Linked DNA regions of Arabidopsis thaliana. The protein of the gene in region 1 interacts with the protein of each later gene in a pairwise test. Each region holds a gene or a part of one and is shown in the gene's direction. Other genes may lie near its edges.

The links.
Region 2: the proteins of AT1G75420 (region 1) and NDL1 interact in a two-hybrid assay, tested with the Arabidopsis thaliana proteins (one large-scale study listed by BioGRID).

What each region holds. Positions count from the first base shown.
Region 1 is NC_003070.9:28,303,500-28,308,285, forward strand, and holds AT1G75420 (UDP-Glycosyltransferase superfamily protein), read left to right. Parts: upstream 1-1,718; 5' UTR 1,719-1,969; coding exon 1,970-2,207; exon of another isoform or gene 2,208-2,294; coding exon 2,295-2,437; intron 2,438-2,539; coding exon 2,540-2,811; intron 2,812-2,957; coding exon 2,958-3,112; intron 3,113-3,234; coding exon 3,235-3,818; 3' UTR 3,819-4,049; downstream 4,050-4,786. Other genes in the region: BLH11 (BEL1-like homeodomain 11), read right to left, coding at 4,622-4,750.
Region 2 is NC_003076.8:22,955,952-22,961,708, forward strand, and holds NDL1 (N-MYC downregulated-like 1), read left to right. Parts: upstream 1-1,677; 5' UTR 1,678-2,034; coding exon 2,035-2,094; intron 2,095-2,557; exon of another isoform or gene 2,558-2,855; coding exon of another isoform or gene 2,856-2,858; intron 2,859-2,939; coding exon 2,940-3,039; intron 3,040-3,113; coding exon 3,114-3,211; intron 3,212-3,301; coding exon 3,302-3,390; intron 3,391-3,474; coding exon 3,475-3,535; intron 3,536-3,626; coding exon 3,627-3,791; intron 3,792-3,883; coding exon 3,884-3,940; intron 3,941-4,037; coding exon 4,038-4,093; intron 4,094-4,204; coding exon 4,205-4,340; intron 4,341-4,436; coding exon 4,437-4,655; 3' UTR 4,656-4,965; downstream 4,966-5,757. Other genes in the region: SERAT1;1 (serine acetyltransferase 1;1), read right to left, coding at 5,547-5,757. UniProt on the Arabidopsis thaliana protein: Interacts with the heterotrimeric G protein beta subunit GB1 and plays an significant role in GB1-dependent regulation of lateral root formation. Involved in a signaling pathway that modulates root auxin transport and auxin gradients.

The sequences.
Region 1 (4,786 bases):
CTTCGCGTAATACATTGGACACACATACTCTTATTAAGTGACGTGCAAAAGAGGAAACTAATTAACTCCATTTTTTCAATATCTTCCTATTATTTACATATTAAAAATAAAGATATAAGTAGAATTGTCAACAAATCAATATATTGAATATAAAGTAATTAAAATTACTAAAGTATCCCTAGGCCTAGAGAATTTTGATTTGCCAGAAATGTTGCTTTGAGGAAGAAGTGTTGTGTCTGCTCAATTGCTTAATTGAGGGATTAAAGGACCTTAACAACCAGTTGGTGACTACCCAATTTCCTTACTTGGAACGAAAAAATCCAATTAGTTGACTAACAAATAAACATATTTTCTTAAATAATCAAGTGATTCATTTGACCTACATGAAGAAAATGTATTTATACGCAAAACAATAAAATGAAAAGAAAAGTTATGATGGGTCGATTCCATGTCCCAAAGGATCTAAGGAGGTTGTGTAATAAATAATAGAAAAAGTAGAATTCGAAAGAAGATGATGAAAAATGAAATAAATAAGGTAGCTGTGTCGGACGCGAAGTTGGTGAAAGTGGCCAAAAACGAAAGACTTGGACGCCAATTTGTTTCGTAGAGACGTTCCTTAACGGAACGAAGCTAACGGCTTTGTGTCCATCTTAATAAATGTTATTCTTATTTCAATTTCTGTATATTTCGTTTATTTCTTTTATTCTTTAATGTTTTTTTTTGTTTTTGGTTGAGTTTCGGTTTTGTCATAGATTGGAACAGCCGACACAAACCTTTCAAGGAGAATCAATGTGTTACAACAAATTCTTTTTTTATGAAATTTTATATATTTATGAGTAGATTATTTGTTTGTTTTTAAATGTACAACTGATAAACCCTACACACAGCTGGTTGAATATGGGAGTATATACAGTGGGAAAGTTTGAAAGGATCAAATATTTTTAACTTTCTAAAATAGGTTAAATGAATGTGGTTTTCTAAAGCTATTTATGATGAGTATTCTTATGAATAATAATATTATACATATCGTGAGTATATAATTTGAAGAAGATGATGAATCGATGATGAGTGATGATGATAGTGCTAAATGAGGAAATGACGAGTAAGAAATCAACAGCTTTTGTTTGGACAAAAAGCTTTTTGTACACCTAGCTATATGGTATGACAGCTAATAATAATTAATATCCTTAAGATATAATTAATCGCAGTTGTTAATCATAAATAGTCGGACCGTTTAACCACATGAGTTTTTCCTATTTTCAAGAGCAATCTGGTTAAACTACATGTAAATGGCAACAAAGTAAGAGTTTATGGTACGGTTAATTAGATGTTCCCAGGTAAATAGTAATACTACAGTTCACAGATTAATATGAGTTTTGCGTTACACTCAAGTCTCTATCTGTATAGCGTTTGAGAAATTATATATGCACGATCCACAATTTATGATCATAAATATTTTGTATTTAAACTAACAAGGGAAATATTGTTGTTCTTGCCATAAAGATTGATTCCACCAGTGAAAATACATTTTCAAAACATAAAATAACGTAGCACACAGTAAATTTTCAGTGCATGAGATGTGAAAGTCATTAGTATCTTAAACCTCATTAATCGTGATACAAACTAAAAGTGGAGACTGGAGTTTCTATGTTAATGAACATAATTGCCTTTTTAGAGCCCATAATAATATGCGGGTTTAAGTGGCCCAGAGGGATTAAAAACGGCAAGACGTTCTTCCAATAACGGCGTGCACTGTGAAACCTTTAAAGATCAAAATTTTCTTTCAAGGTTCTTCTCAGTATAACTCACTTTACAGTTCTACTCAGAGATCCAATTTCTTGCCCATTCTCGTCTCGAATTTGATTTTCAAAGGTTTGATTTTTGAGATCTTTAGCTTAGTTTCGACGAGTCATTTGCGAAGATCTAGACTATTGAAAACCTTAGGATGTGTCTTTAGCAAAGGAAAACAATGGTCAAAGCGTCGACGATGCAAAGGAAGAGATGGGCACTGATGGTTTTGTTGTTTCTATCTGTATCAACAGTGTGTATGATTCTCGTGAGATCTAGCTTTGAAACCTGTAGCATTAGTAGCCAATTCGTGGAAGAAAAGAATGGAGAAAGCAGCGCCGCGAAGTTTCAATCGAATCCTCTAGATTTCATGAAATCGAAGCTCGTTTTGTTAGTATCCCACGAGCTATCACTCTCAGGTTCTGCTGATTTGATTTCTAATTTGATCTGGGTTCTCGAAAAAATCATACTTTTTTGAGGTGATGATTGATTTTGTGTGACAAAAGGTGGACCTTTGCTATTGATGGAATTGGCGTTTTTGTTAAGAGGAGTTGGTGCTGACGTTGTTTGGATCACTAATCAAAAGCCACTTGAAGATGATGAAGTTGTCTATAGTCTTGAACACAAGATGTTGGATCGAGGAGTTCAGGTTCTCTCGTAGTTCCTACCAATAGACTTCAGAGTTTGTTGGAAAGATGTTGTCTTGAGCTCTGTTAATTGACAAGTTCTTATTTTTGGTATCTGACTTCAGGTTATCTCTGCAAAGGGTCAGAAAGCTGTAGATACATCTCTCAAGGCTGATTTGATTGTTCTTAATACTGCTGTGGCTGGGAAATGGCTTGATGCTGTTCTAAAAGAAAATGTTGTTAAAGTTCTACCTAAGATCCTATGGTGGATTCATGAGATGAGAGGACACTATTTCAATGCTGATTTGGTCAAACACCTCCCCTTTGTTGCAGGGGCCATGATTGATTCGCATGCAACAGCTGGATACTGGAAAAACAGAACACAAGCTCGCCTAGGGTATGTTTCCTCTTTGCACCTCCTGCTTCATGTGAATGATATACAGAAAACTAAGATATTTGTGTATAGTCTTGCCTCATTTCAGCTGGATTCACCTGTTTTTTCTTCTTAAAGATTAACATTGTTTTATGACTATTGATATACAGGATTAAAATGCCCAAAACTTACGTTGTGCACCTAGGAAATAGCAAGGAATTGATGGAAGTAGCTGAAGATAGTGTTGCCAAGAGAGTTCTCCGTGAGCACGTCCGAGAATCTCTTGGAGTGCGGAATGAAGACTTACTCTTTGGCATTATTAATAGTATGCCATCATTTTTTTAAGTCTTTCTTTTTCTCTGTTTTCTGACGAGCATCATCATCTTTTAAGGAGTAAGAGTTCACGCGTCACCAATGAATTTACTTTAAGTTTGTTACTATTTCCAGGTGTATCGCGTGGAAAAGGCCAGGATCTGTTCCTCCGAGCCTTCCACGAAAGTCTTGAAAGAATCAAAGAGAAGAAACTTCAGGTACCAACAATGCATGCAGTAGTAGTAGGAAGCGACATGAGCAAGCAGACAAAGTTCGAGACAGAGCTACGCAACTTTGTCCGAGAAAAGAAACTTGAGAACTTTGTCCACTTCGTCAACAAAACTCTAACCGTAGCACCATATATAGCAGCCATAGACGTTCTTGTCCAAAACTCCCAAGCCAGAGGAGAATGCTTTGGGAGAATAACAATCGAAGCCATGGCCTTTAAGCTACCTGTACTTGGTACTGCAGCCGGAGGAACAATGGAGATTGTAGTGAATGGAACGACTGGTCTGTTACATAGTGCAGGGAAAGAAGGAGTGATACCTCTCGCCAAGAACATAGTGAAGTTGGCGACGCAAGTTGAGTTACGGCTGAGAATGGGAAAAAATGGGTATGAGAGAGTAAAAGAGATGTTTTTGGAACATCATATGTCACATCGAATAGCTTCGGTACTCAAAGAAGTCTTGCAACACGCAAAGGCTCGTGCTTTACGATGAGATCACTAGAATGTTGTAAAATGTTTCTTGATCTCTCTTACTTATTCTGTTCATAGAAAATTACAAATACTACCCAAAGGAAAGGTGTTTTTTTTTTTTTTGTGTATGATGTTTTAAATTTCGAAATACGAGTTGAGATGAGTTTTACTGCTAAAATCTGAAAGTAAAGTGCCGTATTCTTGTGTCATATAATGTGTGAATCTCCAGGAATTAAACTGATAAAACCAAAACGTTTGGGGTCGAAAGTGGATCAATCAAAGCTAGTTTCTGGAACCCGAGTTACTCTTTATAATATTGGTGCATCGGCATGGTAGAGATGTTAGCTACTCAGATCTTGGTGATTTATCTAAACAAATCAGAGACCTAAGACATTACATTGAACTTCCTCTCACAAATCCTGAAATTTTTCAACGAGCAACGAGTTGGTGTTAAACTTCCCAAGTTTTGGATTGATTTGTTGTTTTGATTTTGATTTCAATTGTTCCGCAAGAAACAGGTTCATTGTGTTTGACCTAACGATTTCATCAAGGTAAGTACGTTTCTGCTTATTGTGATGTTTTTTTTATGTTTGGATTATTTGTTGCAATCTTCATCTTATGATCAATACTAAAACACGTTTTCAGGCTGTAACAAAACTAGGCGAAGCAAGGAAACTTGAGTCCAGTGCAAGTACAATGCAGATTTCGGAAAAGAGTAAAGATAGGAACATACAAAAGAAGGGATAAAAAGACTAAGAATCATCAAAAGAAGTAGAAGAAGAAGAAGAAGAACCTCTGTTCTGTTTTTATCTTCTTTTTTTTCAGTTAGTTTGAATCATCATTGGCTTCTCTTTGCATTGATTCATCTAAGGAATCTCCAAATTCCTCTCTATACATCTCTTCTATCATCGGTTTCCAGAGTCGAACTCGAGCATTTATAAACCAATTTGATACCTTTAATCATCAACAACAAAAATGATCTTAGTCAGA
Region 2 (5,757 bases), on another chromosome or scaffold:
TTTGCCAAATAGTCCATTTTTCCCAAAAGATCCATAACTTTAAGAACATGTAATCATTAACCAAAGTTAGTTATTCTTGGTGAATCTAGTTGACTTTGGGAGAGGAGAAAGAACCGATTTTAGTTATTCTTCCCCATTATTGAAGTCTAGTTCTCGGCCAAATATTCAACAACAAAAAATTGACTATTGTGAAAATTAGGCTTGTTTTGAAATAGGTCTAACTTAAGATATTAACCATAAATTCGGTTATTGTATTGTTGTTTGGTACAATGTAAACCGGTTACTAAACCGGAACACTCTACATATAAAGAGTGTTTCATGTAACAGAACAATTAAGAAGAATAACAAATTTTTCTCATCTTCTTCATTTCTCTGAATTCGTTCATCAACTATTATGGTATCAGAGTGATGGATCTCGAAGATTCATCCGATTCAACCTAAACTCTGAGTATCTTCGAGCTCTTGGATCTTCCAAACTCGTTGATTCTTTGTTTCTTCAATTTTCTACGTTTTCTGGAAAATTTCAGTTGTTTAGAGCTTCGTTGATCTTGCGATGGTTTCCGTAGAGAAATTGCGGCGTCGTACTAGAAGATCGAGCAAAACTTCAGCTGAGAAAACTCCAGATCGTGTTCAAGCTTCACCGATTCCACCGATTCCACCAATTTCGAATCCGTTTCAACAAAATTTCAATTCAAAACCATCGATCTATCCTTTACCACAGTTCGACTTCTCGGATGCTCATTATTCGCCATTCGCGCTCTCAAATGGTGAGTCCTGGGAATACACTTGTTTCTGAGGTACTTGATGGATCTAATTTCTCTTCTTGGAAGATTGCGATGTTTGTTTCTTTGAACGTTAAGAATAAGATTGCTTTTGTTGATGGAACTTTACCAAGACCTCCTGAATCTGATCCTAGCTTTAGAGTGTGGTCACGATGCAACAGTATGGTTAAATCTAGGATCCTTAATTCTGTTACAAAGCAGATCTATAAGAGTATACTTCGTTTCAATGATGCTGCAGAGATCTGGAAAGACTTGGATACTAGATTTCACATTACGAATTTGCCAAGGTCTTATCAGCTAACTCAGCAGATTTGGTCACTTCAAAGTTTTGCTTTCAATGATATCTCTTTCTCACCTTCGACTTTATGGTTACTATGTTCTCTAACGTCCTCTAGACAAGTGTTATCACAAAATACATGGATCATAGATAGTGGTGTTACTCATCATGTTTCTTATGATAGGAATATGTTTGAAAGCCTATCTGATGGTTTAAGATTAGTCCATTTCTAATTTTCTACTAAGATATATTTTTTCCAACTCAAAGTGAAAAAATTGCGAATAGTATAAATATACAATTGTTTATTAAATATTGATGTTCTTAATATTATTACATAAAAATAATTTTTTATATGTAATAGTATTTTTAGAAAATTTGGTTTCTCTTTTTTTTTTTAATAATAAAACTAAACAGTCTCTAAAAATTTATATTCGGTTTGCTTAATGTTAATTTTGTTGTTAACCAAAACTTCGCACCTCCCTTACTTATCCAATTATCAACATTTAATATTTGTTTACATTTATACAATTATCCAATTTATTTACAGCAATTTTTCCGAATTAGTATTCGACTGTTATTGGTGAAATTCGAGCTGGTTAATAATATTTATCAAAAATAAGTTTCTATAAATAAATCAAATTAAAAATGTTTCTTATTTTAAGTTTTTTGACCGTTCGCGTGTCATGTTACGACTACCGGCGTCTATGGAGAAATCACCGCAAAATTTATAGAGAGAGTAAAACGAAAGAGAAGAAAAAAAGGAAAACGAAAAAAAAACGTTTCTTTTTCCAGAGAGGTCTTAAGAGAGAGGAGAGAGAAAAGGCATCGCTTTGTATATAAGCTAAAGAAAAGCCAAAAAACAATCTAGAGGTTGGGAGAAGAAGAAGAAGAAAAGAGAAGAAGCTCTTGTTATCCCGGCGTTCTTAAAACAACGACGGCGACGGTGACGGCTAAGCGGAAGAGCTTTTGTTGCCAATGACGGACTCTTACGGCGCCGTCTCCGTCGACGTTGGAACAATCTATCTTGGTGGCAAGGTTTCATTCTTTAACCTTTGAACTCGGATCCGAATAAAGCTTTGATTTTTGTTTCTGGGTTTATCTTAAACTTGCTTAAATCTAATCTTTCTGTTGATTTGGGGAAGAACAGACATGTGGGCATTGTTAGATTCATTTGTTTTTGTAAAAAAAAGACTCATCTTTTGTTTGAATCAAATGTTCTTGGAGAAATTCTTTGCTTGTGGATTTGTGAAACTTCTTTTATTATTATGATTCATTTCCAGATGGGATTATTCTTGGGATCTTCTTCTTCTCTCTATTCAAAGATATCTTCTTCTTATTATTATTTTGTATTCCTTATTCTTTGTCTTATTGCCTTTTGATTTTTTTATCTTATAGAAAAAAGAAAAGAAAATGCCAGCTGTTTTTGTCTACCATTAACCTTTTGTTTAATAAGACTAATGCTTCTTTATTATCTCATTAAGACTCATATTAGCTCATCTTTTTTAAACTGTCATTCCCTTTTTATTAAAAAAAAACCACAATGATTAGAATTAGGCCATTTCTCTTTGGTTGTTGATGATCAAGTTTTTGGTTTTGTTTTTTTGCCCTTAAAAGTAGTAAAGCTGCACATGGAAAAGCTTTAACAGAGATGTTTTCTTTTTTGTGTGTGTGTTAATCAAAGCATTTCTTTTCCACCTAAAGTCAGTTGTCATATTCCTATCTTTAGTATACATTTACTAACGAGAAAATAGATTCATTGTTTACAAACACATGTTTTATGAATATGGAGTAGACAAATGGTATGGTTAAAAGTTTAGTTTTTTTCTGTTGGTTTCATGATCCGTTACTTTTGTTATAACTTGTTGGTTTCTTGTGTTCAGGAGCATCGTGTTAAAACTGCTAGTGGTGTTGTGTCTGTCATTGTCTATGGAGACAGAGAAAAGCCAGCATTGATTACTTATCCTGATTTAGCCCTAAACCGTAAGGCTAAAGAATCTCTATAGGCACTAATGTAATGGCTAAATTTATTAATGTTTTTGTTGTTTCTTCTTCAGATATGTCATGCTTCCAAGGGTTATTCTTCTGTCCTGAAGCAGCTTCATTGCTGCTTCATAACTTCTGCATTTACCATATCAGTCCACCTGGGCATGAGGTCCAATATTTTAGTTTCTCTTTTTTTAACTTGCCGTATGCTTTGCTTGACGTGATTACTTACTCACATGACTTCTCTGTTTTCTTGCAGTTAGGAGCTGCTCCAATTTGTCCTAATGATTCAGTCCCTTCTGCTGAAAACTTGGCAGATCAGATCCTTGAAGTTCTCAACTTTTTCGGGTAACGATGGAATCCCTTATTTTTGGCTTATTGAAGTTCTCAACTTTTGTTTTTCGGGTAACAATGTATAAGCTTTTTGTTCAGCCTTGGTGTTGTGATGTGTATGGGAGTGACTGCAGGTGCTTATATCCTCACCTTATTCGCGGTATGTTCCTATTTATTTTTCTCTTCTCATTGCCCATTGCTTCAGAAGAATACTGTGTTTATCATCTCTTCTATGTTTTAAAACTTTTCAGATGAAACATAGAGAACGGGTTCTTGGTTTGATTCTTGTCTCACCGTTATGCAAGGCGCCGTCTTGGTCTGAATGGTTTTACAACAAGGTTATCACAAACTTGTTATATTATTACGGAATGTGTGGAGTGGTAAAGGAATTTTTGCTTCAGAGATATTTTAGTAAGGTGTGTTCACTGCAGTTACCATTGCTCTCTCTCTGCACTTGTTGCATTTCCAGACTTCTCTTATTTAAACCGGTTGCAACTGCTTGCTACAGGAAGTCCGTGGTAACGTTGAGATTCCAGAGTCAGATATAGCACAAGCTTGCAGAAGAGTCAGTGTTTATCTCTTCTGTTGTTTTTCTGTTTCATCAATAGATTGATTTTACTGTATCAGTGATTCACACCTTGCACTTTTGGTGATTGTCTCAGCTGCTTGATGAAAGACAAGGCATAAACGTTTTGCGATTTCTTGACGCCATTGACCGGTAACACAACAAACACCTCGAAATCCTTTACCTTAGAAGCATTCATTCATTCATGGTGTCAAATATTGACTTTTCTTTAACTTTATGCAAACCAAACCTTTGCTCTTGCAGGAGACCTGACATCTCAAGTGGATTGAAGAAACTAAAATGCAGGACACTTATCTTCATCGGAGATCAATCTCCTTTCTACTCAGAAGCTGTTCACATGGCAGCAACTTTGGATAGAGGATACTGTGCTTTGGTTGAGGTTTGAGAAAACGAATCCTCATCCTTTGTACTTTACATATAAACACATGTTTGGTTTTCTTGCTACTAATAGATGTTTTCTTGGAAATATTATCAGGTTCAGGCTTGTGGTTCAATGGTAACAGAGGAGCAACCACATGCAATGTTGATCCCAATGGAATATTTCTTGATGGGTTACGGATTATACAGACCATCTCTTTTCTCCGAGAGCCCTAGAAGTCCACTTAGCCCTTCTTGTATTTCACCTGAGCTTCTCTCTCCTGAAAGCATGGGATTAAAGCTTAAGCCTATCAAAACCAGAATTTCGGCGGCTTAAGTGTGTGTGCACTACTGATTCATTGGTTCTAATTTTGCTGAGGAGAAGAAATCTTAGGGCTTTTGTAGATATAGAACAATACTAGGGAGATTTGAGAAGAAGAAGACGAAGAAGAAAAATTCAAGCCACCATCATATAACACATTCTTTTGTAGTCAGCCGACACGACAGTTCTCTTGTTAAGATGCCACAAAATGTTGTTTATTATTTCATTTTTTTATACATATGTAAAATGTTCTGTTCTTGTGACATTGTAACAATTGTTTTGTGACGAACTCTGCAGAAGCAAGTAATAAAATTCATTTTGCATTTTGTTTTTGGTTCTCTAATTGGCCTTACAAGCACATTGATTTCACCAAGTTAGAATCTGGTTTTTGCTTAATATTGATATTTAATGGTTTAACAGTCTTGATCCTGAACTATTTGGATCATCAGATTGAAACTTTTTAGTCTGAATTGAATTGTAAATGGAAATGGAGACCAATCCTTCTTTGCAGAAGCCGTAAGTTATATACTGATATAAGATACGCATAAGGATTAGTTGCGGTTGACGAAAACATAGTCCCTCATGAACCGGGGTAAAGGCGAAGAATGCTTCACTTAGTCTGAACAAGTTCAATGCTCCTCGATGTTTGTCAAGCCCGTAAAATGGATGCAGACAAGTGTAAATCCGAGCCAAACCCGAATACAAAGTAGAAGAAGTGTATAAACTCTTGGATAACTAATGATTGAATAATAACATCAAATTAAGGCCATTTCTTGTATTGAACATCGTAAGATGTTTTGTAAATTACAAATACAACAAAGCTCACTTACCTCAGCACCTCTCTATAAGCGAATGGTCAGAAAGTTTTTCACTTTCAAAACCACAGAAACAATTATAACAACAACTTTATATGATGTAATCTGACCATTCCGAGATGAATGAAGTATGATCCATCGATTCTCCAGGACATTCCTCATCATGAATCGTTGGCTTCTCTTTCCCTCCGACAAGTCTCGCCGGATTCCCAACCGCAGTACCTCGACAAGGCACGTCAATCAGCACAACAGAACCAGCTCCTACTTTAGCACCTGCACCAATCTTCACATTTCCAAGAATA